Linked DNA regions of Canis lupus familiaris. The protein of the gene in region 1 interacts with the protein of each later gene in a biochemical or structural test. Links are inferred from orthologs where the notes say so. Each region holds a gene or a part of one and is shown in the gene's direction. Other genes may lie near its edges. The genes, in order: RC3H2 and KLHL6.

Evidence for each region.
Region 2: the proteins of RC3H2 (region 1) and KLHL6 form a complex in vitro, tested with the Homo sapiens proteins (2 studies listed by BioGRID, with this or other methods). The link is inferred for Canis lupus familiaris from reciprocal best matches to the Homo sapiens genes RC3H2 and KLHL6.

What each region holds. Positions count from the first base shown.
Region 1 is NC_049230.1:60,005,479-60,009,296, forward strand, and holds part of RC3H2 (roquin-2), read left to right. Parts: intron 1-253; coding exon 254-468; intron 469-1,464; coding exon 1,465-1,898; intron 1,899-2,500; coding exon 2,501-2,671; intron 2,672-3,818. UniProt on the Homo sapiens protein: Post-transcriptional repressor of mRNAs containing a conserved stem loop motif, called constitutive decay element (CDE), which is often located in the 3'-UTR, as in HMGXB3, ICOS, IER3, NFKBID, NFKBIZ, PPP1R10, TNF and in many more mRNAs.
Region 2 is NC_049255.1:16,673,208-16,677,709, reverse strand, and holds the start of KLHL6 (kelch-like protein 6), read left to right. Parts: upstream 1-1,505; 5' UTR 1,506-1,632; coding exon 1,633-1,919; intron 1,920-4,502. UniProt on the Homo sapiens protein: Involved in B-lymphocyte antigen receptor signaling and germinal center formation.

The sequences.
Region 1 (3,818 bases):
GATTGGAGGGTTACATTGGTACCTGGGATTTGTTTGCATTTCTTTTTGCCTTCACTAGAATATGAGATCTGTTACTATGATTCTGTGACTTAGCAGTGGAAAGTTGGCAGTGAAATTCATTGCCTTATTTGTCACTATGGAAGTTTCTCCTATTAGTGGTTTCACTGTATAATTTTATGAAAAATTCCTACTGAGGAAGAAAACAGTTACAGACAGTGATTTATTCTTTGTTCTTGATAAATTATCTCTCCAGTAAAATTGGCTCTCCACCCAAGACTCCTGTAAGTAATGTAGTGGCTACCTCAGCTGGGCCTTCTAATGTTGGAACAGAGCTGAATTCTGTGCCTCCAAAATCCAGCCCATTTATAACTAGAGTACCAGTATATCCTCAGCATTCTGAAAATATTCAGTATTTTCAAGATCCAAGGACTCAGATACCCTTTGAAGTTCCACAGTACCCACAGACAGGTAAGTAATTTTAGACAATTCTAAGAAAAAAAAGAAACTGTAATATAACATTTCTTATCCTTAGATAAGTGAATCCCTTATCTAGAGTATCTACATTAAGAAATTTTTTTAAAAGATTTTATTTCTTTATTTTGAGAGAGAGAGAAATGAGAGAGAGAATGGGAGAAGCAGACTCAGCACTGAGCAGGGAACCCAGAGTGGGGCTCCATCCTAGGACTTTCGGATTATGACCTGAGCCGAAGAAGACACTTAACTAACCGAGCCACCCAGGTGCCCCGCTACATTAAATTAATTGGGGGCACCTGGGTGGCTCAGTCGGTTAAGTGTCCAGCTTTCGATCTCAGCTCAGGTCTGGATCTCAGGGTCATGAGTTCAAGTCCTGCATTGGGCTCCATGCTGGATATGGAGCCTACTAAAAAAAATAGAAAGAAAAAAGAAGAAAAAAAAATTAATCCTTTGGACTAAGCTTTCTTTCTGCCCTAAAAATCGATTCTACATGCCAGTAGTTTTAAGATTCTCCTTCTTACGCATGAAATATGGGGTCCATGGATGAACTTCAGGGAATTTTGTCTATCCCTTGAAATAATTTGCAGAATATTTGGTTTATATATGCTTCTGTATAATTTTGGCAAGACAATGTACAACTAATATAGATTCTGAAAGGTCTTTAACCTCTGCTCCTCAAAAGTTATGAGTTGGTAATGTAGCTAATTACTTAATCCAAAACCTGTGGCAATAGATGCCCTAGAAGGAAATTTGCCAGCCATCTGTTAATAGTTCTGTCTTGTGTTTTTGAGAAACAGTTTAACAAAATAGTGAACTTTAATGATTTTCATAGAGTAGGATTCTGAAAGTAATTTCTTTCTAAAGCAAGAGTGATTAAAGTTCAAAGCTTACTTTCTTTTCCCACATTAAAGGCTACTTTAGACTTAAACTTTTATAAGATGTTGGATTTTGCTGAGATTACATTAAATATTCCTCTTTCTAATTTTCAAGGATACTACCCACCACCTCCAACGGTACCAGCTGGTGTGGCTCCCTGTGTTCCTCGCTTTGTGAGGTCCAATAATGTTCCAGAGTCCTCCCTCCCACCTGCTTCTATGCCATATGCTGATCATTACAGTACATTTTCCCCTCGAGATCGAATGAATTCTTCTCCTTACCAACCTCCTCCTCCGCAGCCGTATGGACCAGTTCCTCCAGTACCTTCTGGAATGTATGCTCCTGTGTACGACAGCAGGCGCATCTGGCGCCCACCTATGTACCAACGAGATGACATTATTAGAAGCAATTCTTTACCTCCAATGGATGTGATGCACTCGTCTGTTTATCAGACGTCTTTGCGGGAAAGATATAACTCATTAGATGGGTATTATTCAGTGGCTTGTCAGCCACCAAGTGAGCCAAGGACAAGTGTGCCTTTACCAAGGGTAAGTAATGGTGGTGGAAATAGGAGAGTGCTACGGTAGTATAGTGGGTAAGAGCCTGCCGTCAAACTTGTCATACCACCCAGGTATAGGTTTCTGGCTCCTCCACTTATGAATTGTGTGACTTACAGAAGTTACTTGACTTCTCTGTGTCAGGTTTTTCATGTTTAGTGGCAGTAATAGTAGTACCTACCTCATAAGGCTGTTGTGAGGATTAAATTAGAAAAACAAAGCCTTTAGAACTGGACCTGATACATATTAATGCTCAATAAATGTTAATGCTTGGATAGGAAACTGATGGGAAAGTAAAAAGAAATCTCCAAAATACAAAGACAGGGCCTATTTTCAGTATTCCATGTATATAGAAATGACTTCCCTAAACCAGAAAACTGAGTGCTCAGATACTACTTTTAACATCGCTGGATGAAATATTAACCCTTCCATTTAAATGCGTGGAGAACAGGCTAAGGTGACTTCTTTACTGTTTTTTTTTTTTTTTTTTTGTCCCCACAATAATGAACTGTTTACATTATTTCCACAGAGCATAGTTAAATTTATTTACTGCTCCCTAGATGATTAAGATTGTTTCTTTTATCCCCCCTTAGGAACCTTGTGGTCATTTGAAGACCAGTTGCGAGGAGCAGATAAGAAGAAAGCCAGAGCAGTGGGCACAGTACCACACTCAGAAAACACCTCTTGTCTCTTCAACTCTTCCTGTGGCAACACAGTCGCCAACACCACCTTCTCCTCTATTCAGTGTAGACTTTCGCACTGATGTAAGAAAGGTCTTAATCACTTGATGTTGCAAGGACAGGTCAGACACCTGACCTCAGAATACTCCTTCAAACCAGGCTTAGCTATGTGGGCTGTTTTGCAGTGATTTGGTATACAGTCGAGTCAGTCTGCTTTGTTCTTTGAACACTGAGCATGTAATGAGCACTACAGTTAGGCATTGTAAGACTCTGAAGACCATGAAGTCAGTCTTTTTCCCACCAAGAATTGAAAATCTTTCCAGCAGTGTAGTTCTCATTGTTTTTTTGATTTTAATTAATCAGATTTATATCTACCATTTATTGAGCACCTACTTGTGCCAGGCACTGTACTAAGTATTTACATAATGTTATTTTATTTAATTCTCACAAAAATCTTAGGGGGCAGGTATTAGGTCTGTATTTTTTTTAGGAATCCTACTCAGAGAAATTAAGTAATTTGCCCAAGAAGTAAATTCAGCCTGTAAGTAGCTGAGATTTGAATCTTGGTCTAGCAGAGGCATCTCTTCCCTACTTTTTACAAGTGGTGCAGAAATGCCTACTGTTTTATTTGTGCAGTTTTACATCACTGTTAATGGTTGTTCTTGTTACAAAACAAGTTTTTGTACCAGGATCATTTCAGGGTGCCCTTTTTCAGTATTTTTATATGTTGAACAAAACATTATTATTTTTTAAATACCTCTAGCTTGGTTTATTTTCTATTCCTACAGGCTCTAATAGGAAAAAAAAAAAAACTTTTTAAAATCTTGTAATGAAAAATTTAAAACACATACAAAAGTAGACCCGGTAGTATAATAAACCCCCTGTCCCCTCATCCCCAATTATCTACTTAGTCTTGTTTCATTTGTACCCTCTCTTCCCTCTGGATTAATTTGAAGTAATCCTAGACATCATATTTTTTCATCCATAAATATTTCAATAAACCATTGAATTTTTTAACTAAATCCAAATTTCTCATCAAACTTAGACTTCTTTAGGGCTCCTGGGTGGCTTGGTTGGTTAAACGGTGGCTTTTGGCTCAGGTCATGATGTCAGGGTCCTGGGGTCAAGCCTCTCGTTGGGCTCCCTGCTCAGTGAGGAGTCAGCTTCTCCCTTTGTCCTTCCCCCTACTCATTCTCTCAACTAAATTTAAAAGAAAAAAAAATTTTTTTTT
Region 2 (4,502 bases), on another chromosome or scaffold:
GACTTAGGAGAAGTCTGATAGAGATGAAGGAAGAGACCTGTCCTGCTTTTGGATTGTTTGGTATTGTGGCAGCTATTATGTCATCATGAGGTGGCATCTCCATCACATTGAGAATATGACAGAATGGGAAAATGGAAAAATTCTGTGTCCTTGATGACATTACTGAGTTTCTGGATTAACCTGGGACTCCATATCTCTGGTTTCTTATAATGTGAGACTTCTATTGTTTAAACCACTTTTGATGGGCTTTTCTGTTATTGAGACCAAACTGTCTTGATTGACAGAGCTCTGGATATAGCACAAGTCTGGTAGAGGGGAGTTAACAAAGATGCTGACATTAGGAATAAGTATCCATGGAAGAGAAGAAGAGCTGAGGCAGAACCAGGACCCCTGAAGAGGGCTCAGTTACTGACCAGGGCAGAGAAAGGATTGGGACTCCTTTTTGATCAGAGCAGCCAGTGTTTCCCACTGCTAGATGGTTCATGAGAGCAGGAACCAGACCTCGAAGGCCCCTTTGGGGAGATGCTGCGGACTGGAGCAGCCACGGCAGAAAAGGCCTGTGGTTCTCTGTGGGAGATCTAGGAGTCAGGACCAACATGATATTACAGCTCTCTTAGCCTGATGATGGTGGAAGAAACGGGCTTTGGGTTCTCCCACTCACTTGAGCAGAGCTTCAGTTTCCTTCTCTGTAAAATGAGGAAAATCATATTTGCCCCCTTGGGTTCTTACAAGGATTAAAATACATTAAAATAAATTAACTTCTTTAATCTGTAATATAGTGGGAGTTTATGAAAAGGTAGTTATTATTCTTTAACAGAGACCTGCAGAGGTACTGAAGACACTTTGTGGTGTACCATCAGATGCATGACCAATAGATGCTGAGTGAGATCAGACCAGTTGGAGACTCGCTAGGGTAATCTGTTGTTGACCTACCCTGATTAGTCTACTAAGAGAGAAGACCCTGGGGATGGAGTTTCTGGAGACCATTTTTTCTCTGTCCCCAGAGACATATCTGAAACAATAGACTTTCTTGGGGCGGGGGGAGAACATTAATATTTGCTATGACATTGTTTTCCCCTGAGCAGGGAGGAAGACAAGGGCAGAATATGTGCGGTGCTGATATAAATGAGAATGCCAGCAATAAGTGGGTTTTCCAGAGTTCCCAAGGGACTGGGTGGGGGCTTATCGTGGGGTCTCAGACTCCTGACAAGAGGGAGGGGGAAGATTGCATAATGTTCCCTGCCCATCCTATCATTGAGGACTTGGGTTATAAAAATGCCAGAGGTACAAATGTAATAACCAGAATCAGAGGCTTCCTGCTCACGGATATGAGGGGGAGATGGACCAAAATAACCCCACAGCACTAATAGCAGACTCTGAGAAGCTACCCCTTCTCTCGTGGAGCCCCTTTCTACACAACCCTTCTAAGTAATTTCTAACCTTTTGTTGACTCACAGAAAGAAGAAGAATAGAAGTTACTGGCGTTTGTAGTAACAGGATGAGAAAGTACAAGACTTCCTGTTGTGTGTGTGTGACAGCTGGTGATAAGTGGAGGGCTCTGCACAGGAAATCCGCCCAGCTTCTGCAATGTGACCTGCCTGAAGCTTGGGCGCTCCTTCAGTCTGGATGTAGATGGCAGGACAAAGGGGCTCCTGGACCATGGGCGACGTGGTAGAGAAGAGTTTGGAAGAGCCCTTGGCACCTTCTACAAATGAGCCCTCCCAGAAAAGGGGAGACCTGGTAGAAATCTTAAATGGGGATAAGGTAAAATTCGATGACACGGGACTCTCCTTAATTCTGCAGAATGGCCTGGACACCCTCCGTGTGGAAAATGCTCTGACAGATGTCATCTTGTGTGTGGACATTCAGGAATTCTCCTGCCACCGCGTGGTGCTTGCTGCAGCCAGCAACTATTTCAGGTCAGCGCGCCTAGGATTACAGTCAAATTGGGTGCAGGTTTAAAGAAAATGGGTATTGATGTGAGAGCCTGATCTAACTAGGTAGCTGTTGTTGTATGTACATTTTGGATATCTATTTACATTTGTGTGTCTATTCAAGATAAAAGGAAGGAAGCTATTAAACCATAGATTTTAGGGTTTAAGGCATATTAAAAGAGAGATTGGTATAATTTAAAAGCAATATTTATATGTTATGGGGAATCTTCTGGATATGTGTCTTTGTTCCAAAGGATGGAAAATTATTGAAGTCATGGGGATTTCTTCCCCCTTGGTCTGACTAGTGTGTTGGAAACATGATGTTGTCTTTGTTCACCAGTAGATGTAGAGAAAAGGTTGTGGCCCCTCTCTGGGAGTTATGAGTGACTTGCTGAAACTTAGAGGGTGGATTGGAAAAGAAAGCAGTAACAAAGGTGCTTTAGCAGTGAGGGGCTCCCAGTTATAACACACTCTGAAACCTGGGTTCCATCCTGTCCTGCCCTTCCTGACATTGGGATTTGAGGCAAGTCACTGCATGCTCTGAGTTTTGTCATCTGTAAGCTGGGGACAATGATGATTACTTTTCTGGGTTGTGATCATTAAATATGAGAAGGAAAAGGCTCTTACACAGTGCCTACAGTATAGTAGATGCTCACTATGTCTGCTGAAAGTCTTCACCTCATTCTGTTTGGTTCAGCTTAGAACCATTTATTGAGTGTTTACCACAAGCAAATGCCTGGGATAGGAATGTGGAAGAATCAGGAATGAAGTGAACAGGGCTGGATTCAGAGTTCTCCAGATCAGTGTAGACATAGTGGGAACCAGTCCCCAAGGGAAATGAGGATGAAGAAGGTATTTGGAAAACTTGAAAAAGAAACACCTTTATAATTCTTTTTGTTTTTTTATCATTCTTTTTAATAAGATTTTTCTTAACTCTTGGTTCTGACTGAGGAAATTAAAAAGTATTTACAGATGTAAATATCATGGAAAGTGTTTTATTTTTTCATTTTTCTAAGATGCTTAGAGGGAAATTTTTCCTTGGAATTCAGAGAGCAGGGTCAATGAATTGTTGTGGAATGATTAGATCCCATATGTATACAAGACAAGGGGACACCTGGGTTTGCAGAAGTAGTGCCTGCTATGTGCCAGACAGACATAGTTATCTGATTTTATTTTTGCAGTAGTGCGGTAAAGGTGGCTGATGTTCCCTTTTACGAATGAGGAAATGGAAACCCAACTTCACATATGTAATCATTGCTAGAGCAGGGATTGGGCATGTTCTAGAAATCCTTGTTTTTACTAAAATACAAATTGCCACTATATTTGAGGCTTCATTCCATAGGAACTATATAAACGGTAATGTGTAGGCACAGTCATAAAGACAAGTTGACACAGATAAACACATTACTTGCCCACCAGTTTTGAGCATATCTTTATATCGATCACAATCACTTTCAGAAGTACATGAAAGTCAGCTTCTTGGATCAATGTCCTGAGTACCCATTTTTAGGTTTATTCATTCTGTTTTTAATCACTGGAAAATGGTTGTCACACAAAGTTATACCCTATTAGCAATTTTGTTAGTGGTTTGTCCTGCTTATGGAACAGGACTACTGACTGTGTGCTCTCAAGTAGATCACCGGTTCCTCTGGTCCTTGGGTTTCTCATCCTAACTGGAAGGTGTTTGGGCCCAGGTCCTTCCAACCATGCTGATGTGGGATACTTAGGGTAAGTGTCTACTGGTCCTCAGAGGAGTTGGTAACAATGAGATGCTGGAGGCTGCATACATGGTATGTACGCCTGTGTAAGAAGCGTCTCTTCCAAAACTGCCTGGTTATGGAGGGAAATTCCTTTTATTCTTTTCTTCAGAGCAGTGACTTTTGATTCTTATCTTGGTATTTCTAAGATGACTTTCCTCCTATAATAAACACAGTCCTGGAGACAGGATTCTTTTTTCTAGTACTGCTCTGAAGAATAATTTCTGTCATTGAACACTTACTGTGAGCAAAGTTTTGTGCCATCTGTGTCACATGCACTATCCCACAGCAACCCTGTGAGTGGGGTAGTTTTATCCCCACTTACAGATGAGGAACCAAAGCCCAGAGTATCTCATAAAGTGACCAAGTGGGATTTTGACCTAGGACTCACATGAAATCAGACATTGCCTCACAGCCTGTCTTGCTTTTGTTTCTAAGGTTTTGAAAGGGGTTGGGAGCCAAGTTCCTTTTATGCTTGCACTTCGGAAGGGCAGAGAGTCTGCTGTGTCTGAGAGGCTTCCGACACAGCCCTCTGTGCTTGGGAGGGCCTGTTAAATTATGTAAGGTTTTTTTTCTTTATTCATTGAAAACATAAATATTTTCCATGGAATGATTGAACCATAGTGTATTTAACCAGTCCTCTGTTGACCGACATTTGGATTGTTTCTTATCTTTTACTATACACCGATGTCATAATGAATAACCTTCTACATGTCATTTTATATGCATGCAGGAGTACCTGGGGGTGCATTTCTTGAAGAAGGTTTGCTGAGTCAAGGAGAAATGTACCTGCAGTTTAAGTGGATATGCC